2 linked regions of the Caenorhabditis elegans genome follow. The protein of the gene in region 2 interacts with the protein of the main gene of each other region in a biochemical or structural test. Each region holds a gene or a part of one and is shown on either strand. Other genes may lie near its edges. The genes, in order: wnk-1 and gck-3.

Region 1 (5,073 bases), on a different chromosome or scaffold from region 2:
CCATTCTGAAATAGTCTACAGTTTAAAAAGAAAGCCAGAAAATCATTTTTCACCTTTTTCGTTCATTTCTAGTCTGTAATTGTCTGCTAGCTAATAATAAATCATTGGAAATCGGAAATTCCATTTAAAATTTGCAAAAACGGCAATGTAGACTGTTTTTCAGTCAAAATTTCTAGAAGCAGTTGGCGGTTTTAATAGGAATGCGTGGTTGGCAGAGGTGGATAGTAGAAAATGTCAATGGGGAAGGGAGAGGGAAAAAATAAAATTTGAATTTCAAATCAAATCATAAACTGAAATTTCCTCCTCATCATAAATCTATGATATTGAGAGAGAGATAGATACAGTTAGACTGTCCATTCGTCTCTTTTCGTCCTAAAAAAGATGAAAAAAGTTACCGATAATGCTCACATGACCAGTTAAAATTGTTATGAATGGGTGAGAATAGAAATATATTCAGGTTAGTTTTGTATAATGATTCGGCCAAAATCTTTTTTTTTACAAAATTATGCATACGTTTGCACTATCAAGAATAAAGTTTTAACAAGAGTTTCAAATTTTCCACGACCATCAGAAACTTTCAAAAGAGATCAAAAACTAACGTGGGATTCTCTTGTGCTGGATGTAGTTCATCGACTTTCTTGATACGATTCACTAAACGACGTCGAGTACCTGAAATTTAAAAATTGAATTAACTTTTAAAAAATTAAATAAACTTTTAAATTCATAATCTTTTTTCTATCACACTTCTGCCAATTTTAACTACAACATTTTTCAAAAAATCGTACTTTTCTCTCTATCACTTCAAAAAACGTCAATTTTTAATTCGACGTCAACTTAATCCTCTTGACGTATTCATGTGTCCAATAACACTTGAACATTCCAGGGTTTTTAAATTTTATCGATGAATGAATACTTCACTTCACCAAATAAGACGATTTTCTTCTTTTTTATAATTAATTCGACTAAAACTAACCAAAATTACCAGTTGTCGATGCTGTTGTTGAGCTCACAGAGCTTGGAGGTGCTGGTGGTCGTCCACCGTTTGTTATAGACTGCAAAAAAACATTGGTTACTGTCAGGAAACGCAATTTTTTTGTTGGAAAATACATAATACAGTTTTTTAAACATGATAACTTTGAATCAATACATCTATACTATTTTTTGATTGAAAAAAAAGGAACAGTAATCACGTGATATCTTAGAGGGTTGTGTGATATTCGAGATAAACCAACGTTTCATGTTTGGTAAATTCGAATTACAGAGTTCAAACTACTACATACATAAACTTTTCGAATCTACAAAAGTTTTCGGGCGAATGGAAAATAAATATAAATTTCCATAAAGAAATTTTGAAAGCTTCTATACTCAATAAAACTAAAAACGTCTAAAAATGTTTATACGTTAAGATTGAAAATTCAATAATCATTTCAATAAAAAATTACAATTTAGCGGTAAAATGGTAGGTGTGATGACACTTCTTGTTTCAAAATTACTACGAGAAGTGTAGAAGCAACACGACTGAAACAAGTCAAACGATAGACACATCGTTTGCCTTCAAAAGGTAGAAGACGTCGTGTCTAATACCGTCGTCTGCGTCTGTTTACCACGTGCTTCTCCATTCAGTATCACTTTGATCAAAAGACACCAAAATTCGAATGAGACGAGAAAGACGAAAGGGCGGGAACAAAAACAACAAAACAACCACCCACAGTAATAAAAACATTGCAAATACTGTTAAAGGCTATTTAAAAATGCAAAATCAGATGAATTTTTAAGTAAAATAGCGGTTATACGTAAACTGGGATAGGAAATTTTTTCAAATTTATCTCGCTCGTTTAGAAAAAAGGTTATGAATTTCTTAAATTTTGAAGAATAAATTATTCAGCAAATTAAATTTCAGGGTCCTTAATTGGAGTGAAATATAATTTAAACAGCTCACCATTCTACAAGAAATATTACGACATCTGTTACATATGACTGTCATCTTTCAAAATTAATAACATAATAATTTTTAGCAGATTTTATAGTTATTTCGAGTTTAAAAATCGTAATCTTTTGTCCCATTTCTCACTCGTGCTTTCTACGATTTTTTGTTATCTTATTTTGTAGTTTTCGATTTTCGTTTTAGTCAAGATCAACAAAAATCAATTTTCACAAAGTGATTTTAGCGGTGAGATAAAAAGAAAATTGCCAAAATTTTGCTGACTTTGATAGGGATATAAAATTCGGAAATAGAAAGAAGAAAGATATAAGAAAAAATAGGAAAAACTAAATTAAATTTCAAATGGACTTTGTCCTTATAATGAAGAAACGATTCGACTAAATCCATAGATGAATGTGAATTACCCTTATTTCTTTTCGGGAAGACAAAACCGATAAAAATCGCCGATAATTTACGATATTATATGCCAATTTATACAGGAACTAGGAATATAGTGACAATTAGAATCGAATGAAATTTCCTATGAGTAATAATTTAGCTAAATTATTTAATTAGAAAATTTAAAAACATCAAAACACAGTTCTAAACCTACAAATGTATGCACCCAAAAAGAATCGGTTGACTGACCACCCAAATGCAGACATAACTGCTTTCAACTACAGAGAATATTCATTGTTAGTAGATTTAAAAGAGGATCAACCAATGTACCAGTCTTCTCATCGCTTAAACGCCCACAGATTCAAAGTACAATTCATGGTTTTGTTTCCTAGTGAAAATTAGTTTGACAACACAAATTTGATGAAGATTGTAGAATTTTTGGGCCCATTTTGATTTTCTATTTTTTGTATTAATGAAAATATACAATTTGTATTCAATTAAAAACTATAAATTTTGAAGATTAAAAAAAAACACTCACATCAGGCATTTTGTAGTCCTCGCTTCACGATTTCCGCCGATTTTCCTCTTTACAAATTATCCTTCTTTTCCAATCGAATTTTTCCGGTATAATTTAAATCAGCCACAAAAACAAGAACTCGATTTGACAAAACGAAAACAGTTCGCTGCTTCTTCTTCTTGGGAGACTTTTTTGATATATAGATATTTACTGTAGTTATTGATGAATGCGATCGATACTGTTGCTTGACAAAGACTTTTTAAATATAGGTGTCAACTAAAAATTGGATGATATCTGCATATTTCTATGTCCGGATATCAAGCGAAGAGCCCGTGCGTTGTCGGTCTGAAAACTGGTAAAATTATTTTAAAAGGTTGCAAACAGATTTTGAGAACAATAGCGTTGAGAAGAAATAATTGAAAAATTAAAGAAAATAATGATTTCATAATAAGCTTCTAGAATGTGCTGGTGAGCAAGTAATTATGAAATTATATATTAGAAGTATTAAATACCGAAAAAGAGTTAGGATTTTAACTAAAATCTATCAATCTTTGAAGAAAACATATAGGCACGTAGATTAGATAATGGTCCCGCAAGGGCTTAAATCATCGAGGGAGTGATAAAAAGTAGCGTACTAAACGTGTAGCAACTCTGAATAACGATAGATCGATCAAAACACAATTGCGAAATTGAAACACCTAAGCAACAAGCGCACTTTCAAATTCTAGGATTTAACAATGAACTGGTGAAAAAAGGCAGCATGCACCCTTGATGAATGGCACACACCGGCCTTGACCAGTGTCCATGTGTGTCTATCTAGCCGTCTGTCATGTTATACTATCTTTATGATATTTCTTGATATCAATATCAATCTATAAATGTCTTTTCTGCAGGAACACTACACACTTTGCAAGACGTAACAGAGAGAGAGAGATTATAAAAATGACATGTTCTATTATGTATTCATGGGAAATATTAATATACTTCCAGGTTTTGGCACATCATAGAAACAAATTCGAGAAGAATAGTTGTAAGAGAAATTTGTGAAAAATGTAGATTACTAACTGATAAGGTTTGCAAAATGGTTTGTGCAGACGGGAAAAATCGGAAAAATTGAACTCGGAATATTGGTTAAATTTGTTTCTCAATAATATTACGCAGCCTGGAAAAAGACTGAAGTTTAGCACTTCAAGGGTGCATTAAAAACTAGAATGCATTCCAAAAATGGAACTTGGATGACATCATCACGATTCGAAAATTGAAGGTTCTGAAGCTTTACAGCCAATTTGAGACAAGTGGCTGCAAACAGTGGCAGTCCATTAGCCCACATGTTTCTTTTGACTCATCAAAACCCGAGTTTTGATTGGCAATAATTTGTGAAGACATGAAGATAAAAGTGTAGGAGACGACAGGGAAAAGTGATTGGATCGAAGTTTAAAATGTGGCAATGTCATTTGAAAATAGGTTAAAACCTATTAGAAAAAGCATGAAAATGCGATAAAAGTTGCATAACTTCAAGTATTTACAGACACCCCAAACAACCATCTTGGTGAAACAAATAAGATGTGAATATTCAGATTTGTGTGGTCAACATGAATTACTGTATCTGAATGAGGTTTGTCACTTGAGTTTCAGCTTATCTGTGATATCTGAAAAATGACTATTTAAAACGTGCCGAACGAAAAAACCAAGATTCACCTCAACCTGCAAATATGTCAAGAATTTCAAAAACCTTTCAATCAGATACAATGCAATCAAAAAGAAACAAAATTTCGAGAAGACTATGAAAAGTATAAACTAGCAGTAACAATTGCAGAGATTTCTGTTTTAGCTATATGAACCAGGAGAATATTCATTCTAACTAAAAACTGAGAAAATCATGTGATTTTGGAGAATGATACATTTGCTGCAACAATCACAAGCACAATTATGTTTTTTTAATAGGGAAAAACGAACTCTCGTGTGACTATGAGGCAGTGTTTGAATGTTGTCATGATACTTACTTGTTCTTCTTTCTTTTCTTCTCGCCTTTTCTTTTTCCCCTCGGCCTACCCTACTCCTACACCCCCACTGTAATCACTTTCCTTATCATCAGATCATAACCATCGTCTTCTTCATCTTATTCTTCATTTTCTTCTTGTGACTGACGAGTGTCTTCACGTGATTTGACCTTCTAGAGGATGATACAGTGTTTACTTTTTCGTTATTTCTCACTCTCCGACACACCGACATCAAT
Region 2 (4,859 bases):
CTGAATCTCATGACTTAGCTCATCAACCGATGTTTGACACTTTTCCAGATTTATGCATTTGATGGCGACTTTCTCGTTTCGTGGAAGGCAGTAGGCCTGCAAAAAAATTGTGGGAATTTTAAAGGTAGAGCCGACCGAAATTTGAGACTTTTGCTTTTTTAGACCCAAATTTGGTCCAGATCTCCGAATTTTGTAATGAGACATTCTGAAAATTTCTCAAAAAAAAGTTATGGCGGTTCAAAGTTTGGCAAAATAAAGCCCATATTCAGCTAAAATCAATATTTTTTCCAACTTCTCAGTGTCACAATGCCTGGAACCTAATTCTTATTTAATTATCACTTTTTAATAAATATTGTGGTTTTTGAGTGGGCGTTTATTCGTTGATTTAGGTACATTTATGGTCTTTGGGGTACAAAATTTAACTTTTATTTGTGCCCCACTGACATATGTACTTAAATCAACGAATAAACGCCCACTCAAAAACCACAATATTTATTAAAAAGTGATGAATAAATAAAAATTAGGTTCCAGGTATTGTGGCACTGAGAAGTTGGAAAAAATTTTGATTTTAGCTAAAAATGAGCTTTATTCGGCCGAACCGCCATAACTTTTTTTTTGAGAAATTTTCAGAACGTCTCATTACAAAATTCGGTAGTTTTGGACCAATTTTAATAAAACATTAATAAAACAAAAGTCTCGATACTCACCACCTTAAAGTAAAATTAGGTGAAAATCAACATTTTCACCACTTTTCTCTTGAAAAAAACGAGATTTTTCGGAAAAATTTAAATTTCCCGCCGAAATTTGGGGTTTTCTAGCGATTTTTCCGGGTTTTTCCAAAGACAAATTAAAATTTTGGCTGAAAAATTGAATTTTTCAGATTCAAATTCGTTTTTCTGAAGGTGTCCAGTTGAAAAATGTGGAATTTTTACGCAAAAATTCAATTTTTGATGGATTTTTCGTTATTTTGCTCATTTTTGAGAGGAAAATCACGGCTCACTTCGTGGTGAGACCCGTCGAAAATTTTTTTTCGGGGGAAATTTAAATTTTCTGAGAAAAAACAATTTTTTGGCGGGAAATTCAAATTTTTTGAGAGAAAAAAAAATTTTTTGACGGGAAATTTAAATTTTCTGAGAAAAAAAAATTTTTTTGGCGGGAAATTTAAATTTTCTGAGAAAAAAAAATTTTTGGCGAGAAATTTAAATTTTCTGAGAAAAAAAAAATTTTCGGCGGGAGATTCAAATTTTCTGAGAAAAAAAAATTTTTCGGCGGGAAATTCAAATTTTTTGGCGGGAAATTTTAATTTTTTTAGAAAAAAAAATTTTTTTTGACGGTTAGAAATTGTAATTTTCGCCATTTCGCCACTTTTCCGGAGATTTTCAGTACAAAAAGTGGATTTTTTTTTGCGTTTTTTTACCCGAATTTTTGTCTAAAAATTCGGCTTTTTTTGACATAGAAATTGTAATTTTCAGTCAAAAAAGAAGCAGCATACAGTAAAAACGGTAGCAGTTGCTCCAACTCCAATCGACTCATCCAACTTATAAGCCGACGGTTCTGTTGGCCATCGATCGGCCGGATTAAGCTGTGCAACAAGTGCAGCTGATGCTGCTGCAGCTGCCGCAATCGGTGATGATACTTGAGGTGGTGGTGGTGGTGGTGGTTGGGATGGTTGTGATCCTGCAACAACAAAAAAATTAGGGGTGAAATTCATTTTTTGGGCCTAAAAATTGCGCGATTTTTGAATTTTCTCACCTTTTTTGTAATTTTTTTTTTGGTTTTTTCAAAAAACCATTTTGGTTTTTAAGGTAAAAATTGAAAATTTTTACATGGAACATTCAATGTTGTATGTACTTAAAAATGTAATTTTTAAGCAGAAAATTCGATTTTTTTTCAGCTCAAAAATTAAATTTCGTTGAAAAATTCGACTTTTTACACATTTAAAAAGGTAATTTTTACCGGGAAAAACGTTTTTTTTTTAAACAAAAAAAAATGTATAAAAATCGAATTTTTAAACTAAATTAAAACATTTTTGGAGTAAAAATAAATTTCAAATGAAGAAATAGAGTTTATCTGCCTAAAAAATCATATTTCCTCGACAAAAATTGAAAATTTTAGAGTAAAAATTGAATTTTGTACTCAAAAATGACATTTTTAAACAGATTTCGTTGAAAAATTCGACTTTTCACAGGAAAAACTCTTTTTTTCTTCTTGAAAAATCAATTTTTCCGATTAAAAAAATTTGTTTTTTTTTCACAAAAATCGGAAATGTAGATTTTATAAATTTAATTGATTTTAATTGAAAATATTAGGGTTTTCCAAGTGAAAATTGGTTTTTTTTATGTGAAAAATCAAATTTTTCAGCTAAATTAAATTTTTAGAGTGAAAATCGAATTTTTCCGCCAAAAAATTATATTTCCATGAAGAAATTGTACATTTTAGAGCAAAAAAAAATCGAATTTTTTATTAGAAAAATTAAATTTGATCGTAAAAATTCGTTTTTTTTTCTCAAAAATGTAATTTTTTAAGGAGAAAAATTGATTTTTCACTACAAAACTTCAATTCCGTTGAAAAATTCAATTTCCTACAAAAAAAATTTATTTATACCCAAAAAACCAATTTTTCAAAGCAAAAAATACATTTTGTACCGGAAAATTTCAATTTTATTGTAAAAATTAATTATTTTCCTCACAAAATACCAACTTTAGAAGGAGAAAGATGTAATTTTTACTTTAAAAATTCATTTTTAACTTAAAAAAATTATTTTCGATTTTTTAAATTTAAATAAAAATTAAATTTTACTGGACCTGCAAAAATAATCGGGAAACCCCAATTTTTATTGAAATTTCTACTTTTTCTTCGGAAAAATTATTAGATTTCAAGCTAGAAATTGCCATTTTTCACATTTTTCGACCGCAAAAAAAATCCAAAAAAGCACCATGAAGTGTCGACGTTGATCCGATGCTCGATAATGTATCAGTGTTAAATGTTCCAGTTGTTGTCTGTGTTGTCGAGTATTCTGATGTTATTGTTGAAGCATTTGCAGCTGAATGAGCAGCTGCTGCAGAAGCTGCTGATGATGTAGTTGTAGTATTCGTGTTTCCTGCCAGATTCGAAGAGCTCATTTTTTATATTTTTGATTTATTATATATTAATTTATATTGTTGATGATGATGATGATGTACACAGGACAACACACGTATGAGACTCTGAAATTTTTTAATACAATATTAATAAATTAATTGATATCATTAATCAGTAATATCATTAAGGATATAGTAGATTTGAAAAAAAAAAAAAAAAACGGCTGGAAACTAACTTTTTGTAATCACAGTCTAATTTTGGGTCCGATAGTTCACTGCAACTTTTTCCTCACGAGGGACGAGGAAAAGTGGTTTCTAGGCCATGGCCGAGGGGCCGACAAGTCGGCCATTTATCTTGCTTTGTTTTCCGCCTGTTTTCTTTCGTTTTTCATCGATTTTTTTCGTTTTTTCTTAATAAAACTGATAAATAAATATTTTTGCAGATGCTAAAACAATTTCCAAGTGAAAAAATTATGTATTCAGTGGGCAAGCAGCGGTGAAAGAGGGCAATGTAATATGATGGATTACGGGAATACAAAACCTAAACTTTTTCTGAAACATGATACATATGATGCTTAGATGCTGAAATTACCTGATTTTCATAACGAGACCGCTGAAAAAGTTTTGAGGTTTTCAAAATTCAACTTTTTGTGCGAAAATCTCGACTTTTTCACCAAAAAAGTTGAATTTTGGAAACCTCAAAACTTTTTCAGCAGACTCGTTATGAAAATCAGGTAGTCTCAGCATTTAAGCAGCATATGTATCATGTTTCAGAAAAAGTTTAGGTTTTGTATTCCCGTAATCCATCATTTTACATTGACCACTTTCACCGCTGCTTGCCCACTGAATACATAATTTTTTTACTTGGAAATTGTTTTAGCATCTGCAAAAATATTTATTTATCAGTTTTATTAAGAAAAAACGAAAAAATCGATGAAAAACGAAAGAAAACAGGCGGAAAACAAAGCAAGATAAATGGCCGCTGAAACTTGTCGGCCCCTCGGCCATGGCCTAGAAACCACTTTTCCTCGTCCCTCGTGAGGAAAAAGTTGCAGTGTCAGTTGAAGAGGAAAAAAAAAGGAAGTTTTCACTCAAATATGACTCAAAAATCTGGATTTTTGAGCTTAAAAATTCAATTTCCAAAGAAATTTCCAAGTTATATATACGTAAATGTTTTTTTCGCTAAACAAAATTTTCAGCTCCGTTGAACATTTTGGTTTAAGGCCGAACAATATTTAAAGATTTTTCAGGCTTGAAATCATCCAATTTTTGAGCTAAAAAACGTGTTGCTTTTAGCTCGGGAAATTGAGATTTTATAGCTTAAAAATTATTTTTGAGATTTTAATAATTACACGACGGTGTTTTTCTGGATTTTTGCTCCAAATAGTAAAAATTACGGATATCTTAAGTTTCAATTGAAATTTTTGCGCGCTAAAAGTTCATTTTCAGCCAATTTCTCTCTAGAATTTCATTTCAAAAAAACCTTCAAATTGGGGAAAATCGTATTTTTACAAGAGTCTTTTTAGTCCGAAAACTGGATTTTCTAAATAGTTTATTTACCAAAAAAAATCCAGCTTTTCGCTGTTTTTTTTTTTTGTAAAAATACTTCATTTTGAAGACTTTCGATCGATTTTCTTCATTTTTAGGGGGAATTTCTACCAGTAATTTCCAGCGAAATTTTACATGGAAAAAAGCTCCAAATTTCAAATTTTCAGGAGCAGGAAAAAAATCATAAAAAAATCAAAGATATTTTCAGCCGGTACACATTGGAAACCGCTC

Evidence for each region.
Region 1: of the proteins of gck-3 (region 2) and wnk-1, one has a biochemical effect on the other in vitro, tested with the Caenorhabditis elegans proteins (one study listed by BioGRID).

The regions. Positions count from the first base shown.
Region 1 is NC_003282.8:9,198,225-9,203,297, reverse strand, and holds the start of wnk-1 (Serine/threonine-protein kinase WNK), read right to left. Parts: upstream 3,193-5,073; 5' UTR 2,868-3,192; coding exon 2,859-2,867; intron 1,053-2,858; coding exon 974-1,052; intron 670-973; coding exon 600-669; intron 6-599; coding exon 1-5. UniProt on the Caenorhabditis elegans protein: Serine/threonine-protein kinase component of the WNK3-SPAK/OSR1 kinase cascade, which plays an important role in the regulation of electrolyte homeostasis and regulatory volume increase in response to hyperosmotic stress.
Region 2 is NC_003283.11:17,963,642-17,968,500, forward strand, and holds the start of gck-3 (Germinal center kinase 3), read right to left. Parts: upstream 3,123-4,859; coding exon 2,936-3,122; intron 1,678-2,935; coding exon 1,493-1,677; intron 97-1,492; coding exon 1-96. UniProt on the Caenorhabditis elegans protein: Plays a role in osmotic stress responses by regulating ion homeostasis and by controlling cell volume via the phosphorylation-mediated inhibition of the chloride channel clh-3.